4 linked regions of the Oryza sativa Japonica Group genome follow. The protein of the gene in region 4 binds, or shares a complex with, the protein of the main gene of each other region. Links are inferred from orthologs where the notes say so. Each region holds a gene or a part of one and is shown on either strand. Other genes may lie near its edges.

Region 1 (6,111 bases), on a different chromosome or scaffold from region 4:
TCACAGATAACAGAGGAACATGCATGAAGATGAAGTGCACATTTCAAGAGGCAGGGAAAATATCAGACTACTTTCATCCTACTGAAGTCAGGGTGTGTTTAGTTCACGTCAAAATTAAAAGTTTGGTTAAAATTGAAATGATGTGACTGAAAAGTTAAAAGTTTATGTGTATAGAAAAGTTTTAATGTGATAAAAAAGTTAAAAGTTTAAAAAAAAGTTTAGAACTAAACTCGGCCTTACCTGATCTTCAGAAAGACCCCGAAGTCTAGAGATGAAAATCTTCTAAACATAAGTCAAGGATCACAATGCGATGAAGAATGCATCAAGTTTATTCACAGATAACAGATTGATGAACATGCATGAAGATGAAGTGCACATTTCAAGAGGCATGGAAAATATCAGACTGTACTTTCATCCTTCTGAAGTTAGCTGATCTGTAGGAAACTAGGAACATCTTAAGGTTTTGATTGGAATTAGGATTAGTCCTAGCTTAGCTGTCATCAGTGGCATTACAACAGAAGCACAGAACAACAACCGTGGAACTGCAGCATTGGAACCTAGTACTGCAAAGTCTGTCGAAGATATTATCAGCGACACCTGTATAACAAAAGCGTGGCACATGAGACATGGATACATTCGCGCATTAGATGCGATGTCGACCAGTCAACCATGTCGATGATATAAACTATAGAGATGAATTTATAGTATAAATACTTACAGATCGCATGAACTTCGTTATTAAAAAAATCGAGGTGGTCAGGTGCCACATTGCCAATGCTGCAATTCCAACTGTCAACATAAAACTATATTTATTTTTATGAAGTGTCTGAAAGTTCAAACATGCACATGTGCAGATGTCTAGTGATTTTATTATTATGCAAAGTACTACAACCTGTATTTCAGTTTATCAAAATTATTCATCAAATTTGCCAACTGAGCTCCCCTTGCGGTAGAACATATCCATCGAAGTTCAAGTTGTAGTCTTAGTATAGGTGCTTTTGCATTTTTTTTCTAGGATTTAATCTGATGAGGTAGTATGCTGGTGCTTGCACTTTCTCGGAGACTTAATCTCCGGAGGCACTGAATGCACATAATATTTGGTGGATAAGTTTATACCCATGTTAAACGAGGCTACTGTTCGAATTTGAGTGTATGTTAGGACTTAGATGCATAAAGTTAGTGTGTGCATATGTCAACTTAACTCGACAAAGGAAATAAGCCTTACATTTGACATAAACCCCTCGTTGGATTACTTTGAGATTCGTTCAAATCCCCCCACGTTAACCCTCTTCCTTTTCTTCTTCCCTCCTCACCGATGCACGACATGCTCGACCTTGACGCCTCTTGTGCTATCACTTGGATGGAAGTGTCATTAATATTGACGGAGCCCTCCCCCCTCTATTCCTTCTCAAGCCAGCAGATGCCCATGATCCGACATTTTCCCCATCTTCGGCTGCTCATAACCACCACCACCGACTACCGCTTCTTAACACAAGCTTGCTTTGCCCCTACCGCGCTCCTTTATCCCAATGGGCGCTGACATCGCCGTTGACGCCTCACTAGCATCCATTGTCCACCACCCCCCTTGGTCCACCACTTCCCATGATCATGCCTCTAAGACCGACGATCTCCTCCCTCTTCCCCAATCCCTACCCTAAATCTAATATGGACCCTAATCCGTCGATTCTAGTTCAGGGTGGCGCCAATGTCGACAAAGAAAAGGAGGTTGCTAAAGCAAGAGGAGAAGAATATAGAGCACAAATCACAAAGCACATCTTTTTTTATCTTAATCACGAAGCACATCTTTTGACCCTAAATCTGCAAGATTTGACGATAACCCCCAAAAAATATTCATAAAATTTTAGATGGGTTTTCAGTTTTTTTTTCAAGTGCAAGCAAGTAAGGCCTCAACCGTCAAGCATGGGAAAGCTAGAAAAGTTAAGGAAAACCCACTCAAAAGCCCAGGAACCCCAAAACCTGGCCCATCTCCCCGGTCCCCGACCTCGCCTCTCCTTCCTCCTCTGCTCCCACTCCGCCTCGCCGCCGCCTCCACCATGTACGGCGTCGGCGGCGGCGGCGGCGGCTTCAACGCGCCCTACACGGCATCGGCCCGGCGGCGCAACCACGAGGACGACGACGACGAGGAGGAGGAGGAGTCCGGCGAGGGGCGCGTCCTCGAGGCCTGGGAGCGCGCGTACGCGGACGACCGGTCATGGGAGGCGCTGCAGGAGGACGAGTCGGGCCTCCTCCGCCCGATCGACACCAAGACCCTCGTCCACGCGCAGTACCGCCGCCGCCTTCTCCTCCGCTCTGCCGCCTCCGCCGCCGCCCGCATCCAGAAGGGCCTCATCCGCTACCTCTACATCGTCATCGATCTCTCCCGGGTTCGTTCCCCCGTGCCTTCTCCTAAGCTTGTCCTCGGGTCAGTCACTCCGTCGAGCACTTGGTGAGTGCGGAGTTTTCCGTGAGCTCGGGTTAGGATCACTGGGGATGGCGGGCAATGCTGATCGTGCTAACCTCTCAGTGTTTGTTAAATGCAACACCTCGTGCCGAGGCTGATCTGGTGGTATTGCCCATGGCCTCAATTTGGTTCGTGTGAAATGTGGACTGGAGGCAGTATTGTTGAATCGGTGATCACTATGTAGTGCTTTTAGCTTGATTTCATATGCTAGCTATTTCAGTGACTAGCTGCGCAATCCTCTCCACTTCCACATCAAGGTTTGATGTTTGAGTTGATGATCTCATCACTCATGTATGATTTGCTAGCTTGTCTTCTTGCTTAGGTGTTCTGCTTTTAGTCCCTGAGAGTGGGTGTTATAATCGGTGCATATCAGGGCAATACTGGAATCTAGCCATTTTTGTTTGCCATTGACCAGGGCCATAACCAGAGATTGAATGGGGGGTTTTCGCCAACCATTGAACGCAATGAAGTTCACAAACTAAAATGAAATTGTATATGGTTTGTATTAAAAATGGTTCTTCTACAATTATAATAGTTTGTTTTGTAAAGGAAAAAAATTCTTGTGCCAAAGGGTCTCCTGAGATCTGTGGTAAATAAAATTCTTTCTATAAATTACTGCACTATGACTCTTATGAGCAAGCTAAAAAGGAAAAGACATATTTCATACCCCATCCCTGTTAGGCTCATGCTAATAGCAATTTTCTCTTGGTTCTGTCCTATCTGAAAACTTCATAGGAATCGGAGGAGCGTGAGGTTTTTCATTATCAAGATTCTGAAGCGGTAAAGCGTTTTGGTTGATCGTCATTTGTTTTATGTCAAAGGAAAGGGGCACCGTACTGCATTACTGCTCCATACCATTTGACATTGTTGGAAAGTGTTTTCTGTTGATTTGAGAACACTACGTATATTTTGTGTATGCATTCATGTGGAAAAAGCCCTTTCTTCCTTTGGGTGATAGGTAGTAAATAAGATCCTCTTTGGCACAGCTCCAGATCTTAGATCCATGGTAGATTTGAAGTTTATAAATTAAATTATAATGGTTTAAAATTCTAAATTTCATTTGAAATGTGCACGAAATAATTTATTTAAATGTTATTAACGTAATCGTAGATCTAGATCCATGGATTTATGGAGCTAGAAATACCTAGCTCCAAGAAATCTTGGAGAGGGCCTATACCATTTATTTTAGCATATGTACATTTTCTTCTCACAAAGTAGGCTGCTCATGATTGTTCTGGTGATGAAGATATTTTTACTGCAAATTGATATGCTGCCCACGACTTCTTTTACTTCTTTGCATTCGGTTGTAATCTCCATTTATCCTGGTTGTATCTTTGATCATGTAGGCAGCTTCAGAGATGGATTATCGACCTAGTCGAATGGCTGTTGTTGCAAAATATGCTGAGGTATTCATAAGGGAATTTTTTGACCAGAATCCCTTGAGTCATGTGGGGATAGTGACAATGAAAGATGGGATTTCCCATCGACTTACAGAGATTGGAGGTAGTCCTGAATCACAGATTAAAGCATTGATGGGGAAGCTTGAGTGTTCTGGTGAACCATCTCTGCAGAATGCTCTAGAGCTTGTCCATGGTTATTTAGACCAGGTTCCTTCATATGGTCACAAGGAAGTATTATTTTTGTACTCGGCCCTGAATACCTGTGATCCTGGAGATATCATGGAGACAATAGCAAAATGCAAGAAATCCAAAATACGATGTTCGGTTATTGGGCTTGCTGCAGAGATTTTTATCTGCAAATATCTGTGTGAAGAGACTGGCGGATCCTACACAGTTGCACTGGATGAGGTCTTAAAATATGCTTTGTGTGTTTACCTTTCCTTATTCAGTTATTGTGAAGATAAATAATGCCTGTTTTATTTTGGCAGTCCCATTTCAAGGAATTGCTTCTGGAACATGCTCCTCCACCACCTGCAATTGCTGAGTATGCTGCAGCTAATTTGATTAAGATGGGTTTTCCGCAGAGAGGAGCAGAGGATCTTATCTCCATCTGCTCTTGTCACAAGAAAATAAAGTCGGGGGCTGAAGGTTACATATGTCCTAGATGCAAAGTCAATGTATGTGAGCTTCCAACAGAATGTCGAACTTGCGGGCTGACACTAGTTAGCTCTCCACATCTGGCAAGGTCCTATCATCATCTCTTCCCTGTACAACCATTTGATGAGGTGTCCTCCGTGCACCCAAATAGACTAGGTCAAAAGGGAGGACAAAAGTGTTACGGCTGCCAGCAAAGCTTTATTAACCCTGGTATGCAGTTCTTTAACACGTCTAACAGTACATGCTACCTTTTCAATGCATTTTCATACAAGGAAAGATATCCTTATTGTGCTACATATGTTGCAGTTGGTAGAAAAAAGAAGAGAAAATACATAATACAAAGCTTACATTTGTTTGTTATTACATGGCATCATGTTCTTCAATTACCAATCCTCATACTTCTCTTACATTTAATGTTTTTCACTGGTTTTTGTGCTAGATTATACTCCCTCTGTCCCATAAAAAACCAACATAGTACTAGATGTGGCATATCCTAGTACTATGAATCTGGACATACCTCTGTTTATATTCGTTGTACTAGAATGTGTTATATACAGTCCTAGGTTCGTTATTTTTTGAGACGGAGGGAGTACTTTGCAATTATCAGGTTTATTAATTATTTATCCAATATCCTTGCAGATAGTCAATCTAGCCTCCATGTTCGCTGTCCAAAATGCAACCAACACTTCTGCCTTGATTGCGATATTTACATCCATGAGAGCTTGCACAATTGCCCAGGTTGCGAGAGTCAGCGTAGTTCTTCATAGGGATGCCATTGTGGTGTTAATCTTTGTCTTTTTAACTCAAGAAGCTACCCGTTGCTGTAAGCTTTCTCGTACACTGACATTGGTAGGCGATGTTGTGAGGTAATCAAACAGTGTACAGATGATATAGTGCCCGGCCTCCATTTTGTTGACGCTTCCTGTTCATTTAGATGGAGTAGCTAGTTAAGCTATTTTGATACAGAGTACTGGTCAAAGAGTTGTTGAAGCCATAGCATTGTTGCTGAGGGGAGGTGTTAGAAATGTACAATGCGACTGAAAAGTGAAAACTTGTAACTCTTGCCGTTTTTCTGAGGCAAAGATGTATTCTTTCAGTGTCATAGTCATGCCCTGACATGCCATTTACGAGCAGAGGCTGTTCCTTTCTTTTTTTTTCCCCCTTCCTCTCCTGATATGCCAATATGCTGGATATCGACGGCTCGACGCACGCACGCACCCGGCGTTTTCCGTTGCTGGTTGCTGACTGTAGAATCGTCAAGGTAAGCAGTTGCCTCGTGCAATTAACTGCACAATTTCAAAGCAGGCGGAGACGCAGAACGAAACGGCAAAACGCTGGAGAGAGCACGATGTTGCTGACCCAAGAGGCTGATGGCTTACGTTTTTTTGCTGCCTCGCAATTCGCTTCTGATGGGCGGAGTCAACACAGATGCTAACTCTGGGCTTTTTCGTTGTTCCCTTTCAGCTTTCCGGTGACGAGCAGTGGCGATCATCATGCATAATTACATATACGCAGCATATCCCTGGTTCCCTACACTCTGATGAAAGTGTGCTTCCTGTGGCTATCATGTCGACTTTGCTAAAGCGAATGGAT
Region 2 (5,080 bases), on a different chromosome or scaffold from region 4:
TGGCCCAGCCCGGCTGTCTGAGCGGTCGTTGTAAGTTGTAACACGGATCGGACACGACACGAACACGATCGATATATCCAAAAAGAAGAAAAGAAAGTAAAAAAGATGGTTCAAAAAAAAAAGAAACAAGTGAGAAAGATCGAACATACGGTCGAATCCGGAGGCCAGGCAGGGAGATCAGATGGCAGCTCATGGTGGCTGATGGCACTAATGCACTAGCATACTCAACCAAGCCAAAAATGCCAAAATATTCGTCATTTGATTTCATTGTAACCGAAAAAGAAAATGCCTTGCCAAATTATGGGTGAGTTTGAGGAGAAGGAGATTGAGAAGATTGAAAAGATACGCAAAACGAGGTGAGTCATTAGCGCATGATTAATTGAGTATTAACTATTTTAAACTTTAAAAATGGATTAATATGATTTTTTAAAGCAACTTTTCTATAGAAATTTTTTACAAAAAACACACCGTTTAGTAGTTTAAGAAGCGTGCACGCGGAATAGAGGTACTTTCTCACCTAAACTCACCGGAACGAACGCACCCTATGTCAAGATGCAACTTTGGTACAAAACCCCCCAAAAAAATGACTAGCCAATTTCTGCCAAAAAAAAATCAACATTGCAGTTTTTTTTTTTTTGGAGAACTGCATATGAATATCAGTCAATTAGCTAGTTAGTGTTAGTGTAAGAGTAGGCCCGTGCGTGCTACTTGTGCTAAATTTGTGGTCTGCAAGAGATGGTCATAACGAACGCGAGGAAGCAAAAACCTCTTCAAATCAACATGCATGATCAAACGTACTAATCCAAGCAAAATAGAGGCTAGGTTATTAAACCCGCGTGCATCGATCATCACACCAAGAAATGCATCACCACATAGGAGTAACATATATCCCCAGATCAGCATATCACATATATATCTTTGTTCAAATACGACGATCGAGTGCAAAACCATACGTACACACAGATATCCATCGATCGGCGATCGCTACTGATCCTATCACAGACAACATGCAAGCTACGTAGTCCAAACTAAAATGCAACGAAAGGTAATCCAGTTCTCAACGTAGGCCAACCCGACCGCATGCAGATAGTATACCTCAGCTCAGACGGCGGCGGTCTCGGTCTCGGTCGCCTCGCCTCCGGTGGTGGCAGCAGCACGTAGGTCGGTAGTTGCCGGCGCCGGCTCCACCTCCTCCTCCTCGTCCCAAGGACCACCAGCAGCAGCAGGAGCGACGACGGGGTCGGCCGCGGCGGCGGCGGCGGCGGCGATGTCGGGGTTGGCGACGTCGATGGGGTCGCCGTCGCAACGACCCGTCACAGTAGCGACGACGAAGGGGTCGCGAGGCGTGGCGCGCATGACCGTCATGTTGTTGATGGACTGCAGCATTCCGCGCGTGAAGGAGCGGCGGTCGGAGTTGCTGCCGCGGCCGCGCGCCTGAGGAGCCGACGACTTCTTGTTCTTCTTGTTCTTGTTCTTCTTCTTCTTCCCCATGCCCGGCGGCCGGCTTTTGCTCTGCTCGTCTACTCTCGTCGGAGGAGTGGGTGGGGTGGGGTGAGAGGCGTGAGACTCCTTATGTAACCCGCGTTTATATACTCGAGCTGGTTACTTGCGTGGTTTAGCCGTCTCCTCTCTCTCTCTGACACCTCTTGTAACAAGAAATGATTCCTCCTAGTTATCTCTCTCTAGCTCTCTCTCTCTCTCTCTCTCTCTCTCTGACACCTTGTAACAAGAAATGATTCCTCCTAGTTAATGATAACCCGTCTCCTCTCTCACACGGATTGACACAGGTGAAAACCTGACACCTGACACACACCCTCCCCCTCCTCTCTGATCGCTCGTCTCTCCCTCTAATCGCTCCTCTCTTGCACGGAGTAATCATCTAGAATAAGTAAAGAAAAATATCTAGAATAAAATGTGATCTATCCTAAAACAACTAATTTGGACTGGACGGATGGAGCACTCCGTAATAATAAACAGGGTAACAGCAGTTAACTCAAAAGTTCAGCGAGTTCCAACTCCTTAACATGATGCAGCCAGTGGATATATTCATGTGTGACAATGGGCCAAATTGGTGCACAACAGTCATTGATAAAGTTCTTACTGTGCAGGAATATAGGAGTACATAGATTGAATAAATTATGCAAACTATAGTTGATTTATCTTAGCCTCCGGAGGAACTCACGCATTTCTGAATGGAACTCCACTCGTACAATTAATCTCATCTTCTTCGCATCCTCCCACAGCAAGCACCCATGATCTCTTGCATAATCACAGCATTGATCAAACATATCCTGCACAAGCAACAGTAGAATAAATATGTTAGCGTTTACACTAATATGAAAAGCACACACCAACATGGTATAAGCAACTCAATATTGTCCCAGTACTATTTCCAAGTTAAATATGCTGGGCTTTACCTTGCTTGGAAAATCTTCATATAAATGCGATAGGGTCATATCAACCCTGTTACGATCCGTTTCCCACAACCTAATCTGCATGGAGGAATTACCAATTCAATTACTTTGGCAAATACGGTTGGCCATGGATGAAAACATTGCCTTGTTCAGTTGTACCTGATCTGTAACGTTCTCTGGGACTGCAGGTATCTTGTCAGCAACACGAGGATGAGCATTCTGCTGAAGGAATGAAATTATCTGAAAAACAACACAAAACAAGAATGACTCTGAGTATCTATATAATGGATCATGCAGAAATTCATACTCCAAGTGATACCTGTTCAGCGGTAATCCCATTCTCAAAAGCACCATAAAGACTTTCTTTTGTAATAGATCCCACAATTAGGTTTGGAAGTTGATACTCCACTCTGCAAAAATATCCTTATTGAACATTCAATGAAGAATGGAGGATGACAGTAATATAAGGTAAAATCTACAGTCGCCACTATTACTGTCATTTTAATAAAACCTTAAGCAAGTGTCCTGTAAAATTAATAAGCAATATTACTTACAACACAGTTATTAATACAGTCATCTTCACTGTATTGTGTTTCCTACTACCTTGATTTAGTACTGGATTCCAGTGAAACAGTTGGCATTCCTGAGTCAATTCAGTCAAGATGAAGGCATCTACTCAACCAAGATAAACGGTATCAGTCACTGAAACAGCAGTGACCAATCACCATTCTACTAGAGCATAGCCAAAAATCAAGATTATGGCATATACTCGCATGACAATTGGCAGAGTTACGCTGGTTAACTAAAGAAAATGTGATGAAGGGTATAGAGCCCTTAGCTCCCTGCCGTCGCTCTTTTGCATGCCAAACATATGGCAAAATGTTAATAATAAATAGAGGAAAGTCGTTCAAGGATGCAACAGAAGCTATGGATCAGTAATTCAGTAGTTAAAAAACCAGTACATAGTTGAGCTAAGTTATGCCAATCATCTAGCACCACACGTACCTTGAAAAAAGGCGCAGAATTTCACAATGTAATCTGGAAGTTGAGTACGCATACATCCGGAAATTTGTCTCCACAACTACAAAACCCTACAGCACCAACATCATACAATGTAATTATTAACAGAAAGTATTTTCATCTTCATTTGTTGTTGCTTAGGTGACGAGTAGATTGAGGTTATGAAAGATTTGGACGTCATGAATAACTGTAATAGCAAGGATATAAAATGTTCTGAAACCTCTTTGTTAGACGATGAATCTGACAAGCTTGCTGAGAGATTTGTAGCCAGTTTTGTAGGTATGAACCAGCTGTCCTTTCGACCCTGCCATGGCTTAACTCTTGACATTTGTATTCATCAAGTTGACTAGGGAAAAGACTAAATCAAAGTTTTACCTGCTGAAGTTTGACCAGTCCCAACTCCGCCAGATCCCTAATAGCATTTCTTTGGACATCGGTCAGAGTATTCAAGCTATAAGCCTGAAGCATGAATAAGTTAAACAGCATGTTGAAGCGAATTTGCAACAGATGAACCAGGCCACAAAGCTTGGACTCCACAACAGATGAAAGATAATGCTTAGTTAATAACATTAATCTACAGACTGATAACCTCTTTTTAAGCACTAAATCTCTGGTACTGTCTGAACTAGTAAGCATTATTAAGCAGGCATGTTAGATTGATGTCCCTATTCTGTTAGATAGATCAGAAACCAATAGAAAATCTTTGAGATGCTCCGTTTCATATACCACTACAATTTACCCAATCCTCTCATAAACTATAATCTGCGTAAAATGTGGCCGTGTTTATTTCTTATATCAATATAACCTACTATTATTGAGGGAAATTATATTTTAATTTCTGTAAAAGAAAAACTGGAGCTGGTCACTTTTTAAAACGATTTTTGAAAAAAAAAGAAGCATCACCACAGTCTTTTAAAAGTGGTTAACTTACCTCTCCTAATGTATGAAAACTAAGTTCCAATAGAAATGATATCAACTCCGTGGGGTCCACACCACGTTCCTATTCAACAGTAATAAAACAATCAGCACAAAGGAAATACAACAAATAAATCAACAATGTAACATCAAAAGCTCTAGAAAGAGCAAGCAACCGATACCTCTGCTGATGAGATGTATTCTCTCATGATGTACCAAAGTTGAGCATTTGTCTCCATCAGCTGGTTAAATAGAAAAGAGTGAGAAACAAATATAGAAGTCTGCAGTCTGTTAGATAATTGGATCAACTGATAGCCAATGACACACCAGAAACTGGAACCCGTTCTCAGTTAATCTTGGAGCTTCACCATCTCTGCAGAATATATCAGATCAGGAACTCTATCGTTCAGTTGTTGTTTGAATATGCAATGAGGAAAGCATATACAATAAAGCTAGAGAATATATAGCAGGGCAAAAAAACTCTAGTAGCTTTTAAAATTCCAGAAATGTGGTGCAAATCTGAACTATCCAAATAAAAAAAGCAACCTGCTAAAAGATGGATTATTAGGATTACTAAGAGACCAATCAGCCCCATTTCACTTACAGGTAAACTGAACACAGATAAACCAAACCAATTAACCAATGACCATCTGCTGTCAGCCCACACCATCTTGGGTATAGTAGTTGCTAGTTCTTCTTAGTGTATATCTATGTAGCTACAGCCATTGGAT
Region 3 (6,380 bases), on a different chromosome or scaffold from region 4:
TCTTAAAGAGCTCCATAAGATGCTTGTTCTTGAATTGCTTGTAGAAATTTGCACCCATGTGACGCATGCACCACCGACTCTGAACATCAGGCCACTTAGCTGGAAGTCCCTTCTCATCCCAACCGTTCTGCAAGTAGTCAATAGCCCGCAACATACCCTCATGACGATCATGTATAAGGCAAACGTTGGGCCTCATACGCACCACTGCAATGTGCACTCTCTCTAGGAACCAGTACCAGCTTTCAGTGTTCTCACTCTCTACAAATGCAAAAGCCATAGGTAGAACCTGGTTGTTCCCATCACACCCAATTGCTGTCAATATCTGACCTCGGTATTTACCTGTCATAAAAGTTCCATCTATGCATAGAACAGGTCGACAATGCACAAAAGCATTGATGCAAGCACCCAATGAGAAAAAGGCTCTTTGCAGCATACTCTTTGTTCGATCATCAACCGATGTAAATGTATGTAGGTCATAGTACGTATTATTATTCCTCTGGGCAATGGTGGCTAACAAACGAGGCAAATTATCATAAGAAGCTTCAAATGTGCCATACCTCATCTCAATGATCTTTTGTTTGGCTCTCCAGGCCTTTGCATAGCTTATGGTGTACTTGAATTTGTTCTCGATGTGCCTAATAATTGATTTTGGTTCAAAGCCAATGTTACCAACAACACTGCTGTACATCTCACTTGCCACAAAAGCTGAAGTGATGTTTCGGTGATACTTCTCCACCCCTTGTAAGTAGCACTTGTGCTCGGTCACAATGCTAACTTTCCAATAATCATTCCATTTACCCTTATATGCATGGACACGCCACGGACAATCTTCCTTCATGCACCTCACTTCATACACATAATTTGTTGACTTGACCACCCTAAACTCTCTCTGCAAGGAAACTGCCCAATGCTTCACCGCCTCCTTCATCTCATCCTTATGAGCATACCTTGCACCGTCAATTACCTCGTTCTCCTTATACTCCCAGGGTACATGATCACCCTCTGATATAACAAGTCCAGAGAAGTCCTCATTTGCCCAATCAGTGGCCATTACATCACCTTCCTCATCGGATGATGCGTCGTCGTCCGCTTCCTCATTATCCGAATCTTCCCTCTCCATTTCATCAACAATTATACCGACTCTCTCCCCCTCATCCGCCATGCCCATAGCCTGCTCCTCCCTTGGTTGATTTTCCTCATTTTGCATCGATGGTCCAACAACATCCCCTGCATTGATAGGACCCTCTACATCTTCGGTTTGCATTGAAACATTTATATCTTTCTCTTGTACCGACACAAATATAACGAGGGGCCATGACCGTTCAAAAGCCATTTCCACATACCGTCTCCAAGCATCAGTGCTGTCCATCGGCATTAGTTCCCAAAAATAACCTTCTGTTGCACGACTCACTACAACTGACACTGACATTGTGTAGACTTCTTGGTCTATTCTAAATCCTCTCAACAACCAACTATAAATTGACTGAAATGTTCTCTCCGCAGGCCTATCGATGCCCTTAGATGTCATTACAAAATCTGACAGATCAACACCATCTGGACCAAATCTAATATTTCCTTTACCATGAACTATCTGAAATGTGACCTTACTTGACATTGTGCCTGATGAAAACAATAACTGCGTTAACCTCGCATTTCTGTACTACGCCCTAAGTTACATTCTCTACAATATTGTTCTCTAAATTTCTAAAATTACGTTACATTCTCCAGATCAAACTAAACTACATCTTACAATTAACACTACTGTCTATGTCTCAATTCATACTATTATATTCTATGCTCTGGATCTACACATATGTGCTATGTGCTACAGATGTGCTAAAATATATGGAACTAAAACTAAAACGCAACATATATACTCAAACATAACATATTAGTACAAATGCAAAAGATGTATGGGAGCATACCTGTGATGAATTGAGCGAACCAGCAGGGCTTCGCCGCTCCCCTTCTGCTGCCCTCCCCTCTCTCTCTTTCGTTTTTTTTGGATTTTTAGTGAATATAATGAAATTTCACAGAGGAGGGACTGGGCTTTATAGGGGGAGGCAAAAATCGCCCTCCCCCAGGGCGGCAAGGGGGCCGCCTGCAAAATTCCATGCCCCCTCGCCGCCCATTTGCAGGCGCCCCCCCCCCACAGTACAAAATCGCCCTAGCGGAGGGCGGCAAGGGGGCCGCCTGCAAAATTCCATGCCCCCCCTCGCCGCCCATTTGCAGGCGGCCCCCCGCACAGTATAAAATCGCCCTAGCGGAGGGCGGCAAGGGGGCCGCCTGCAAATTTCGTTGACGGCCGTCGCCCGAGAGCGAACGGCCGTCTGCCACGTCATTTTCGCCGCCCTCTGAGAGGGCGGTAGGCGACTACTTCCGTCAATTTTCAAAATGGAAAATTATTTTTGTAAAACTTTTAATAAAAAAATTATAAATAAAAAAAATTCGTCGTCTCTTGCCGCCCCCAAGCGCAGCCGCAACTCCGCCGAGTTCGCCGCCTCCGCCTCCGCCTCCCGACGGCGGCAAGGCAACCGCTCGCGCCGCCGCCGCCTCGGCCCAACCAGCGCCTCCGTTCGCGCGTGTCCGGCCCTGCCGCGACGGCGGTGAGACTGCCATGGCCTCCTCCAAGCTCTACTCCGGTAAGCGGCGCCCGACCGTCTCCGTTTTCTGATCCCTTTGCGTCTCGCTAATCTTCCCCCCTTTTCTCTTGCCTCGTCTCCACCGCGCCTGCGCAGATGACGTCAGCCTCGCCGTCGTCGTCGTCGACACCAACCCCTTGTTCTGGGCCACCGCCGCCCTCCCCTTCGCCGACTTCTTCGCCCATGTACGCCGCGACCTCCCAAACCCTATTTCCCTTCTCGTCCCCCGCTTCCCCTCTCGATTTCTAGTTTTTGATTCACATCTATATCATGGGGATTAACCACGGAAACACGATCAGTATCTAGTTGCATTCACGCTGATCTAGCTAGTTTGATTTTATTCTGACTCCTCCAGAGAGGATCAATCTCTAGTTGCTCGCTGATCTAGTTAGTTTGATTTTGACTCTGAATTCTCCAGAGAGGAGAGGATTTACACTTAATACTGATGCAATTCCGGGGTGTATGTAGCTGATCCACTACGTGAACTCGCTCTTGCTTCTGAACCACCTCAACCATGTGGTCGTCATCGCCGCGGGGCTTAGCTCTTGCACCTACATCTTCGACTCGAGCGATGCTAGTGCCTCTGGTGCTGCAGACGTCGCGGCCACCTTCGCAAAGGCGAGCCGCAAGATGGATGAGTTCATTGCAGAAGACGCCCGTGCCACTAGCAGCAATGGTTCCGTTGCTGATGGCAATGCAGCCTCTCTTCTCTCAGGCGCACTGTCCCTTGCTCTGTGCTGTATCCTATGACTGGTACTGATTTCTTATTGTTAGTGCATTTTCCATTTGTGCTTGTATTTCTTAACATGGAGGATGCTTAGATATACAGAGGGTTTTTCGGTCTGGTACTCGACATCCACAACCTCGGGTGAGTATACACTCTGTGTGTGTTCTAAGTTACCTTTTGTTCTGATTCCTGTTGATATGTTGACCTATGAGAACAACATAGAAGGGAGCATATCAGTTAGCATAAATGTTTACAATGCGCATGCTGTATGGACTAAAAAAACCTGATAGGCATCTGACCCATCACTAATGATATAATTATTTAATTTTCTTTGTTTTCTTGAATTTTTCTACTCAATATCCTCACAACTTATTCTAGTGGCATCATGTATTATGCTAACACGAAATACAGATTTTATGCCTGCAGGGTTCTCCAGATGGACCTGAACAGTACGCACATTCATCGATTTGATTGTGTAGTATATATTTTCTGGAACATGTTTTAACTCAATGAGATGCTGCGCAGATATGTAGCGGTCATGAACTCAATATTTTCTGCTCAACGTTCCATGGTATTGCATGAACTGTCACTATTCCGTACATTTGGGTTCATTGTTCAATTCATTTTATTGATACTCTTGATGTCACCTCACCATTTCACAACTGTAGTGGTTTTAGTGAGTCCCAACTGCAAGTAGCACTACCTCTAGACATGTCTATATGACTATATACATCACCAGTTTCATTGCTTAAAACATTCACTAACAACTTTGGTCCTTATTTTTTTTTTCTATCAAAAAAATTTAGGTCCCAATCGATTCATGCATAGTAGGAACCCAAGACTCTGCTTTCTTGCAACAGGTAATGTTCTTCAGTGCCTTCTTGGTCTTTCTTTCCATTTATAACTTCTTTTACATGTATGCCCCCATAGAGCTGTCTATTCCTTGCTGAATGCTGATCATATACTGGCCTTTCATTTGCAGGCTTCATATATAACAGGTGGAGTTTATTTGAAACCCCAAGAACTAAATGGTCTATTTCAATACCTTGCTGTAAGTCATTCTGGCACTTCTGTAGCAACACACATATTTTCTCATGCAACCATGGTTACATCTTTATAACTGCATGATGCATTTATATAAAGCCTGTGGCCATCTTTTCTGTGTAATAATGAAAAATTAAGAAGGCAACTAACCTCCAGCACATGAATCTGATGTAACTCTTTAAAAGAAAAATGCCAGATCAGCCCATTTTCATTTTGTGAAAAAAAATAATATCAACTTTCATCTAAGGTTGTCTAGGCTCTTCTGTTTTCCTGCCTTTGCTTGAATGTAGAATGTACTAGTAATGTTTGGGAACTCATGCATCTCTAGTGAGTGTGGCTTGTTTAAAGTGTGCACTCAAGCATAATATTTCCTGTATGTCTCAAACTGTCAATCTGGGAAGATCAACACAACTACATCTCTAAACTTTAGTGCCAAATGATTTTGGATGCTACTAGTAGACTACAAAGTTGAATGCCCTCTCAGTGTCTATGTTCATGAGTTCATCTCCTATGTCAAAACTCAATATTTTCTGTCACTAGAGTGGGGCACATAGATACTCCATCTTCCTGGTACTGGTAGTATATCTACCTGTTAATCTAGAATCAGATTCACATATATATGTACAATACACTAATGAACAACAATGGAATCATCAGATTATGGCGTGATAGACTGTGCTGTTTACTTCTGACCCAAATCTATTGCTTCAATATCAGCTTACGTTGACCTGTTTTTGGAATATATATATTAGTTCCAAAGTTGCTCTGTTTTGTGTTTGTCTTTATTCTATCTGAGTAGGAATATTTCTATTTCAGATAACTTGATTAATTTGCTTGAGCTCAATGACTCATTTCTGCAAATATGCAGGCTGTATTTGCAACTGATTTACACTCAAGAACCTTTCTGCGCCTCCCCAAGACTCTGGGAGTGGATTTCCGTGCTTCGTATGTGTCACTCAGTTTCCTCTATTAAGTTCTCTAGGCATTAGGCATATCTCTGTTTCTTCATCTTCTTGAATGCCTTGTGACATAGCTATGAGATGCTTGTTATAGATCTGAAAACATAGCATAATACCAATGACAATTTCAGAAAAATGTGAGAAACATACAGCTAATTTTTTTTGTGAAGTTCTATCTTACCAAAGGCCTTAGGTCAGGATTAGCAGCTCAGTTTATTTTTGTTTTTAAGTTTCCATTCAGTTTGTCTGATACTGGTGGCCTTTCAACTGCATCTAATTTGCTATATTTCTTTTCAGATGTTTCTGCCATAAGAAGACTATTGACATGGGATATGTTTGTTCAGTTTGTTTATCGATATTCTGCAAGTATCATAAGAAGTGTTCGACCTGTGGGTATGTTATAGTTGCTTTGTGTTTCTATTCTTTTGTCTTTTTCCTGAGAGCTTTAATTTGTTTCAGTAAGAATCAGATTGTTTGCTTGTTTAATTTGATGTGCTCCGTTCACAGGTCAGAATTCAACCGTGTCATGCCCGACTTAAATTCTGTACCTGATCAAAGGCAGTAGTCTACACTACAGATGGCGAAATATCAGACTGCAGACTTCTCTTTATGTTCTCCACAGGTTCGTCTGATGTGTCTCTTAAGAAACTTCGGTGCCACTATCTTCTATAGTTAAAAGATCTCATTTGTAAAATATAGACTACTTCATCTGCATTAGCTGACCCCCAGACATGCATTATGCGTTAATGATGATGACATGCACATACAGTGCACGCCATATCTAGTCTAGTTTCAAATTTTACCTACCTTGTGTTCTTATGTGCGTAGGTTCATGCCCGTGCTTTGTTCCATTCTGAAATGTGGTTCATTTTCCAGGAACATCTATCCTAGCATTTTAGCCTCAATGACATGCACATTTATTTCTTAGATACGATACATGATGCTGGATCAGCCTGTCCCTGATTTTGACAGGTTCAACTGATACAGAATGGGCATTGTGTGCATACT
Region 4 (6,403 bases):
GAATTGGAGCTTTCTTGTCAACCATAGGCAGCTAACTATAACGAGGCTTTCTTGATGATTGGCGAGGTTCTAATTTTCTGAGTTAAAAGTCAAGGCAGTGATCAAGTACCTCTTGTCAGCAAATATCATCATTCCATAATCTGCTTTAGAACGGATCACACGGCCAACACATTGCGCAGCTTGCCTCTGGCATTAACAGAATCCAAAATGTCAAGAAAACTTTGTTGGATGTCTCTAGAAAAATAAAGCTACAAATCATCCAGCCCTACTTTCCCCTGGCAGAAGTAGTATTATTACCAAAGCATCGAAGGTCAGGAAGTCACCCTCCTTTATTTGAAAAGTTTCTCTTAGGTACTCCAACCTAGCAAGTAATATCCTGCAAACAGTGTAGACACAAAAGAAGCTGTCATTATGCCAGTAAGTATCCATGGATGTTGCTATTGAGTAGATAATGTTTTATAATATGATGAACCATTCGTAGGCACAGAAGTAATGCTCAGGTATAGAGATCAAGGGTTGCACAAAAAAATGGATCTTAAGTTCAGACAATAAGTCCTCACCTGCTGAGTGTGTACTGGAAAGGAACACCAAACATGATCACAAGTCTGCCATAGTGTCGATCAAAATCAATACCTTCGGCTACTTTGCCCCTGGATTGAGCATAGTGGTAGTTAGCTATGAGTCATATGTCCATCATATTATGTAGCCATGAGTCAAGACCACTTAAACATTTATAATAATAACACTTGAACAGAAGTAGCCAATCTACAATATACTGTAATGATGGTAAATTAGCTCGTGGTGCCTACTGGGTTATGCTTATTGTAGCCTATTGATCAGCCAGATGATGAGCTAATGGCAGCAATTTATTTGAGCATTCAGGGACAAGATAATTTTTTTTGCAAGAAATAAACTTAAAAACTCAACGTATGAGTTCCTCATGTTTACACATCAATGAAATATTGGTGGATGCCTGATTGAAGCATTTTCTGAAATTACTTACTGAATTGCTGTACCAACTAGGACATTCATTTATTTTGGTTAACACATAATTACACCTATTTTTGACTAATACTGTCTTCGTTGTTTCGGATATACTAGGAATAAAGAAACCATTGGCCAACCAGTAATTATATATCACCTTTGACATAATTATCACCTACTTGGGTCGATGTTAAAATAGCTGTAATAGTCTCAAGCAATCCAATCAATTGCGAAGCTGAACACTGACACTAAATTTGAAGGGTGCTTTCCGACAAAACCAATATAAAGTGAACCAACCTGGCAACGGAAAAGAATATAGCACCTCTTCCACAATCACATGCCTTTCTGTAATTATCAAGAGCCAATGTTGTCTCAACAACATCTGGTGTTTCAATGAATACCAACTTATGCTGCATGATGTCCTGCAAATTGAAGTCATAAGATTTTCATATTAGGTGCTAATGCATTGCGTGTTATCAAGGCTTTGCCAAGAATGCTGTATTCATGAGAACAGTAAAAGCATTAATCATGTGAAATCAGCTCAGACAATGCACTTTTTAGCAGTACAATAAACTGCACATGTAATAAGAACATTAGAGGCTTAGACACCATATATAGTACTACAAGTGACTGTTCCAGAGCAGTACTACAAGTTTTTCCAACTGAAACAATGCATTTGTGCAATTGTTAGACTTTATATGGTGACATAACGAGATTCAATGTCATAATCCATGAAGAGTTTTGCACTAGATTTATATTCTATAGACTGCTCGATACCAGAATAATGTACTGGTAAAGAAACTAACCTGCAAAATACCCATCTCATTCCAGCTGTTGACAATGCCATCCATATAAGAGTAACTGACAAAAAAACAAACTATGCCATCTGGCACAGCAGAAGCCATCTCCAGCAAGAGCCGACCATAATTCCTTACAACGCCAGGATCGCTACGCATATCAAACTTTGTACTGACAGGTAGCTGGTCACTGAAAATGTGATGGAATATTTGAAGTTATACATCAAGATTTTGCAATATCACCAGTAAGACTAGAATTTTGAGAGCCAAAACCCAATACAAAAACTAAACTAAGTTCATGCGATGATGCTCTAAAGGATGAAGAAAGATTCAATAGATGCTATGCTAGTATTTAAAACATGCAATGGATAAATTAGTTGCTTGCTTTCAAAATAATATATGCCACATGAAATTTTGAAGGCCCGGTCCATACCTTCCTCTTGTCAAGACCATGGGACATATGCAATCCCTTGTTAAAGACATTGTGAAGCTCCTGCTTATAACAGGATTAAAGTTCAAAAGGCGAGGGTAGAGGTCTATTGGGCTGAGAGTACCAGAAGTTATGACTACTGTTTGAAAACGCTCAAAAACAGGCTGTATTGCAAGCGATGCATCATGGCAACTGAGCTGCAACACATAGAAATTGATTAGGATATCAATAATGCACTTTGACGACTTTTGATGACAGTTAAGATTAGAGATTATTGTCATATAGAGAAGAATGAGTACCTGAATCACAGGATCACGGATATCAGGCATTCTCTCATCATAGGGTTCTATTATTATAGAAAAGCCCCGTGTATAAGTTCCAATCAATGTGGCAAAGTCACAAATTGTCTGGATGTGCATGAACTCATCTGTATCGGTTATCTCCAAGGTAAGCATTAGAGAGTGTAGCCGATCATAACAAAACCTTAACATTTTCTGGTCAATTCCAGCCTGGGAATGGATTGAAGCAACAAAGGCAACAGGCATTTCATTCTCAACATTCTCTGTTTCCAGGCGTCCATCTAGGAACCTGACAAGCCTCCGCAAAACAGCAAGAAAATGCTCAGCCCTCCTGATGTTTCCTGGTACAGCCTCCTTCAGAATGTCCTCAGGCAAGGCCGGGTTCGCGAGCCAAGCATCCGATACTACATAACAAGAAATATTTTATCGTAAACTATTAACTGACCCAGAAAGACCAACCACAATGAGCAGTCTAAGACACAGAATTAGTGAAAGAAAAAATGGTACTCACTTGGCAGGTTTCCCCTCTGTGCCAATCCATCAACCAGCCTGTTGTATTCAGCACGAAGCCTATTGGCATCAGTGGCCTTGAACCTTCCTCCCAGATAAGGCAATTAGTGAGCAAGCAAGCTTCAACTATTTATCACAAAGTTGGATGCTCTTAAGGAAATCATAAAAGCAATCCTGGAAACAAAGAATTCATGTTTTTTTATGCATATTAGTAGCTGCAAGCTTCTTCAACACCAGGTACCTATCGATCTCTTGCGAGATGCGCCGCAAGTTTCGCTCGGCACCTTCGAGCGTCTGCTTGCGGATGCTGACACTGAGAGCCTCAATGCAGACATTATCGATGTTGTGCGCCTCGTCGAAGACGACGACGCACTCCTTCTGCATCTCCCTGGACACAATGCTGGCCACCTTGGGATCAATCAGGTACTGGTAGCTGTAGACCACGACATTGGCGTACTTGACCATCTGCCTCGCGAGGAAGTAGGGGCAGATCCCGCGGTCGCGGCCGAGGGCGCGGAGGTCGGCGAGGGTGTAGACGCCGGGGGGCATGTAGGAGGCGAGGTCACCGGCGGCGGCGGCGCGGTCGAAGGACTCGAAGAAGTCGCAGAGCGGGGTGGAGTCCGGGTCGGAGGCGGCCCTGTCGCGCACCCAGGACGCGGTGAGGCGGCGGCAGGCGGTGTCGACGGAGTCGCGGGCGGCGGCGGCGGAGGCCTGGGGGTGGACGCAGAGGTTCTTGCGGGAGGAGAGGCCGAGGGCGAGGAGGGAGCGGGAGGCGGCGGCGGGGAGGTGGGCGAAGAGGAGGCGGAGCTCGGCGAGGGTCTTCTCCATCTCGTGGACGGTGCGGGTGCAGTAGATGAGGCGGAGCGGGCGGGACGGGCTGGCGAGGGAGTAGGAGGTGATGAGGGAGATGAGCGCCGACGTCTTGCCGGTGCCCGTCGGCATCTCGAGCAGCGCGTGGCCGCGCGCGTCGAGGGCGCGCTTCAGCTCGCCCATGTACGCGTGCTGCTCCGGGTAGATCGCCGCGTACGGGAAGTGCACCGTCAGGCCCTCCAGGTCGAACTTCATCGCGGCGGCGAGGTCGGGGCCGGTGGGCCGCCGGAGTTTGGAGGAGAGGCGGAATCGCCGGCTGCACGCGCCGCCGCCGCCGCCGCCGTGGGGAGGGGAGGGTGTGCGCGTGAGGTGTTCGTTACAATGCCGTGCCCGTGCAAGAGCAACACGACTATGATGGGCTAAGTAGGCCGGAGATATGTCCGAGATGGGCTGGATTATGGGCCATCTTATGGCCCAATACTAGCAGTAAAAATTTATTCTGCTACAATATACTCCTCTGTTTTTTAATAGATAACATCATTTACATTTTAGCACATGTTTAATCATTTGTTTTATTAAAAAAATATGTAAATATGTAAGATATAAATCATGCTTGAAGTACTTTGATTGATAAAACAACTCACAACAAAATAAATTATAATTACGTAATTTTTATTAATAAAACGAATGATCAAACGTGCGATAAAAAGATCAACATCGTTATCTATTAAAAACGGACGCAGTATAAATCTTGCGTTAACAATGCCTAGTTAGTATTGTATGGTTTCAACGCATCAGATATGGTTTTGTTATATCATCTCTTTTTAATACATATGAATATCCTGACTTTATTCGGTGGAAGGGTAGCTTTGACCACTATTTTTCAAGAATATAATAATAATATTTAACAAACTTATAATATAGCAAAATTACTTATAAATAAAAGAAAAAATGTCTAATTTACTGCTCCAACTATATCAGTGGAGCACTTGACACCATAAACTACCGTTGGATCTAAACATGAACGTCTGATATAATTTGGCCACGTTATCGAGGTGATGTGGCTAAATCTCAGGCATCAACTTTTTATCCAACTATAGTTTACATGTTTCCACTACATATTTTTTTTTATTTCTAGTGGATTAAAACATATGCACTGCATATGTCTCTATATCTATCTGAGAGCTCCTTTGGAGCACATTAATTTTGAAGGATTTTTTTTAGTAATTTAGTTTAATTTCTCCAACAACCGTTTGAAATTTGTTTATTTCATCAACTTGATAAACAAATTATATGTTTTCTCAAAAGGAATATAAATTGTAGAGAAAAGATGCGTAACAGATTTTTCTTAAGGCTAGACTTCATGTTAGACTTTCTACATGTGTTTGATAGTGCAGTAGCAAGAGATGTGTGGTTCAACTCCAAGGTCACGTGTTCAATCCCGACACGATAATTTATTCTTAAAAAAATATTTAGAGGGACGTCTCTTCCTCCAAATCAATCTCTCTCTCTCTCTCTCTCTTTTTGTGTGTATCGGACTCTCTTGGGAATACCTAGGAGAGCATAGTCATATTTTATCACTTTACGGGAACACAAGTGTACATTTTTATATTCGTATTGGAAATAAAAGTTGAATATGAATATGGTTTGTCAAATTTTCCACAAGCGAAATCTGGAGAAGATCGTTCGCACGTTCCATAGGATGGAATGCAGGAGGGAAAACCTCCCAAATCTGCAGTTTTCTGCTTCTTCCTTGGTCAATATATATGTTTCTAGCTAGAACTTTCAGTTACTGAGTTCTTGGTTTTTTGTGCTAGGGGGAAGTTGCAACCTTAATTAGGTTCAGAGAATTTGGTTTCCACCGTGGAGTTTGTTCTTTGATTGTGTATGCAATGCTCTTGGACGCTCAATGAGAATTGTTCGTGATGCAGGAAGAATTGACCAAAGATCTCGTGAGGATAGAGAGATGCATTTTGAAGGAAAATTGGGTTCGTTTGCCATGTTCAAGTGTCGAACACCCTGGAATGATTCTGTGTCCCACTATTTCATTTCTTGATACGTTTTCCCTCAATTAGTGTTTCAGTTTTTTTTTCTTAAATCAAAGACTTTGATCAAGTCTACAGAAGAAAATAACACATCTAAGATACCAAATAAATACACTATCAACACATATTTCATGATGGATTTCAATAAAACTAATTTAATGTTGTGCTATGTATGCGTGTGTATTTTTTTTATATAGATTTGATCAAAGTTAGACATTTTCAACTTAGAACATGTGACATTCTGACTCAATTAGGAGTTGGTCTGTGTGGCTCATGAGAGTTATGTGTGTATATTTAGTACCACATTACTAATTTAGTAGGGTAAAAACAATTTATAAGGTCTTGTCCTTCCAACCATATTATTCCTGGGTTTAACCATTTTACACGAAGGGATGACGAAAATATAAGTTATGTGGTATTTGCAAGTATGCCCGTCCGTCAGATAGATAGAGCTGTGCAGTTCTTGAGGAATGGCTGTTATGCGAGTAAGTTGGACCGACGAGAGTTGGATTGTGTGGGTTGGTTTGG

The links.
Region 1: general transcription and DNA repair factor IIH helicase subunit XPD (region 4) and general transcription factor IIH subunit 2 share a complex: the UniProt entries of both Arabidopsis thaliana proteins name them as parts of the 7-subunit TFIIH core complex. The link is inferred for Oryza sativa Japonica Group from reciprocal best matches to the Arabidopsis thaliana genes UVH6 and GTF2H2.
Region 2: general transcription and DNA repair factor IIH helicase subunit XPD (region 4) and general transcription and DNA repair factor IIH subunit TFB2 share a complex: the UniProt entries of both Arabidopsis thaliana proteins name them as parts of the 7-subunit TFIIH core complex. The link is inferred for Oryza sativa Japonica Group from reciprocal best matches to the Arabidopsis thaliana genes UVH6 and AT4G17020.
Region 3: general transcription and DNA repair factor IIH helicase subunit XPD (region 4) and general transcription and DNA repair factor IIH subunit TFB4 share a complex: the UniProt entries of both Arabidopsis thaliana proteins name them as parts of the 7-subunit TFIIH core complex. The link is inferred for Oryza sativa Japonica Group from reciprocal best matches to the Arabidopsis thaliana genes UVH6 and AT1G18340.

The regions. Positions count from the first base shown.
Region 1 is NC_089038.1:25,935,545-25,941,655, reverse strand, and holds general transcription factor IIH subunit 2, read left to right. Parts: upstream 1-1,963; 5' UTR 1,964-2,054; coding exon 2,055-2,384; intron 2,385-3,807; coding exon 3,808-4,269; intron 4,270-4,349; coding exon 4,350-4,728; intron 4,729-5,157; coding exon 5,158-5,285; 3' UTR 5,286-5,651; downstream 5,652-6,111. UniProt on the Arabidopsis thaliana protein: Component of the general transcription and DNA repair factor IIH (TFIIH) core complex, which is involved in general and transcription-coupled nucleotide excision repair (NER) of damaged DNA and, when complexed to CAK, in RNA transcription by RNA polymerase II.
Region 2 is NC_089038.1:35,247,404-35,252,483, reverse strand, and holds the end of general transcription and DNA repair factor IIH subunit TFB2, read right to left. Parts: intron 4,723-5,080; coding exon 4,677-4,722; intron 4,592-4,676; coding exon 4,532-4,591; intron 4,435-4,531; coding exon 4,366-4,434; intron 3,894-4,365; coding exon 3,810-3,893; intron 3,739-3,809; coding exon 3,655-3,738; intron 3,506-3,654; coding exon 3,420-3,505; intron 2,825-3,419; coding exon 2,734-2,824; intron 2,655-2,733; coding exon 2,574-2,654; intron 2,493-2,573; coding exon 2,418-2,492; intron 2,292-2,417; coding exon 2,157-2,291; 3' UTR 1,989-2,156; downstream 1-1,988. UniProt on the Arabidopsis thaliana protein: Component of the general transcription and DNA repair factor IIH (TFIIH) core complex, which is involved in general and transcription-coupled nucleotide excision repair (NER) of damaged DNA and, when complexed to CAK, in RNA transcription by RNA polymerase II.
Region 3 is NC_089036.1:1,354,453-1,360,832, reverse strand, and holds the start of general transcription and DNA repair factor IIH subunit TFB4, read left to right. Parts: upstream 1-2,463; 5' UTR 2,464-2,617; coding exon 2,618-2,642; intron 2,643-2,738; coding exon 2,739-2,827; intron 2,828-3,110; coding exon 3,111-3,381; intron 3,382-3,463; coding exon 3,464-3,510; intron 3,511-3,780; coding exon 3,781-3,818; intron 3,819-3,894; coding exon 3,895-3,940; intron 3,941-4,175; coding exon 4,176-4,229; intron 4,230-4,351; coding exon 4,352-4,420; intron 4,421-5,281; coding exon 5,282-5,358; intron 5,359-5,669; coding exon 5,670-5,765; intron 5,766-5,879; coding exon 5,880-5,937; 3' UTR 5,938-5,994; intron 5,995-6,248; exon of another isoform or gene 6,249-6,344; 3' UTR 6,345-6,380. UniProt on the Arabidopsis thaliana protein: Component of the general transcription and DNA repair factor IIH (TFIIH) core complex, which is involved in general and transcription-coupled nucleotide excision repair (NER) of damaged DNA and, when complexed to CAK, in RNA transcription by RNA polymerase II.
Region 4 is NC_089039.1:2,600,326-2,606,728, forward strand, and holds the start of general transcription and DNA repair factor IIH helicase subunit XPD, read right to left. Parts: upstream 4,227-6,403; 5' UTR 4,086-4,226; coding exon 3,262-4,085; intron 3,105-3,261; coding exon 3,022-3,104; intron 2,915-3,021; coding exon 2,511-2,914; intron 2,409-2,510; coding exon 2,215-2,408; intron 1,972-2,214; coding exon 1,791-1,971; intron 1,407-1,790; coding exon 1,282-1,406; intron 651-1,281; coding exon 561-650; intron 377-560; coding exon 298-376; intron 187-297; coding exon 110-186; intron 1-109. UniProt on the Arabidopsis thaliana protein: ATP-dependent 5'-3' DNA helicase, component of the general transcription and DNA repair factor IIH (TFIIH) core complex, which is involved in general and transcription-coupled nucleotide excision repair (NER) of damaged DNA and, when complexed to CDK-activating kinase (CAK), involved in transcription by RNA polymerase II.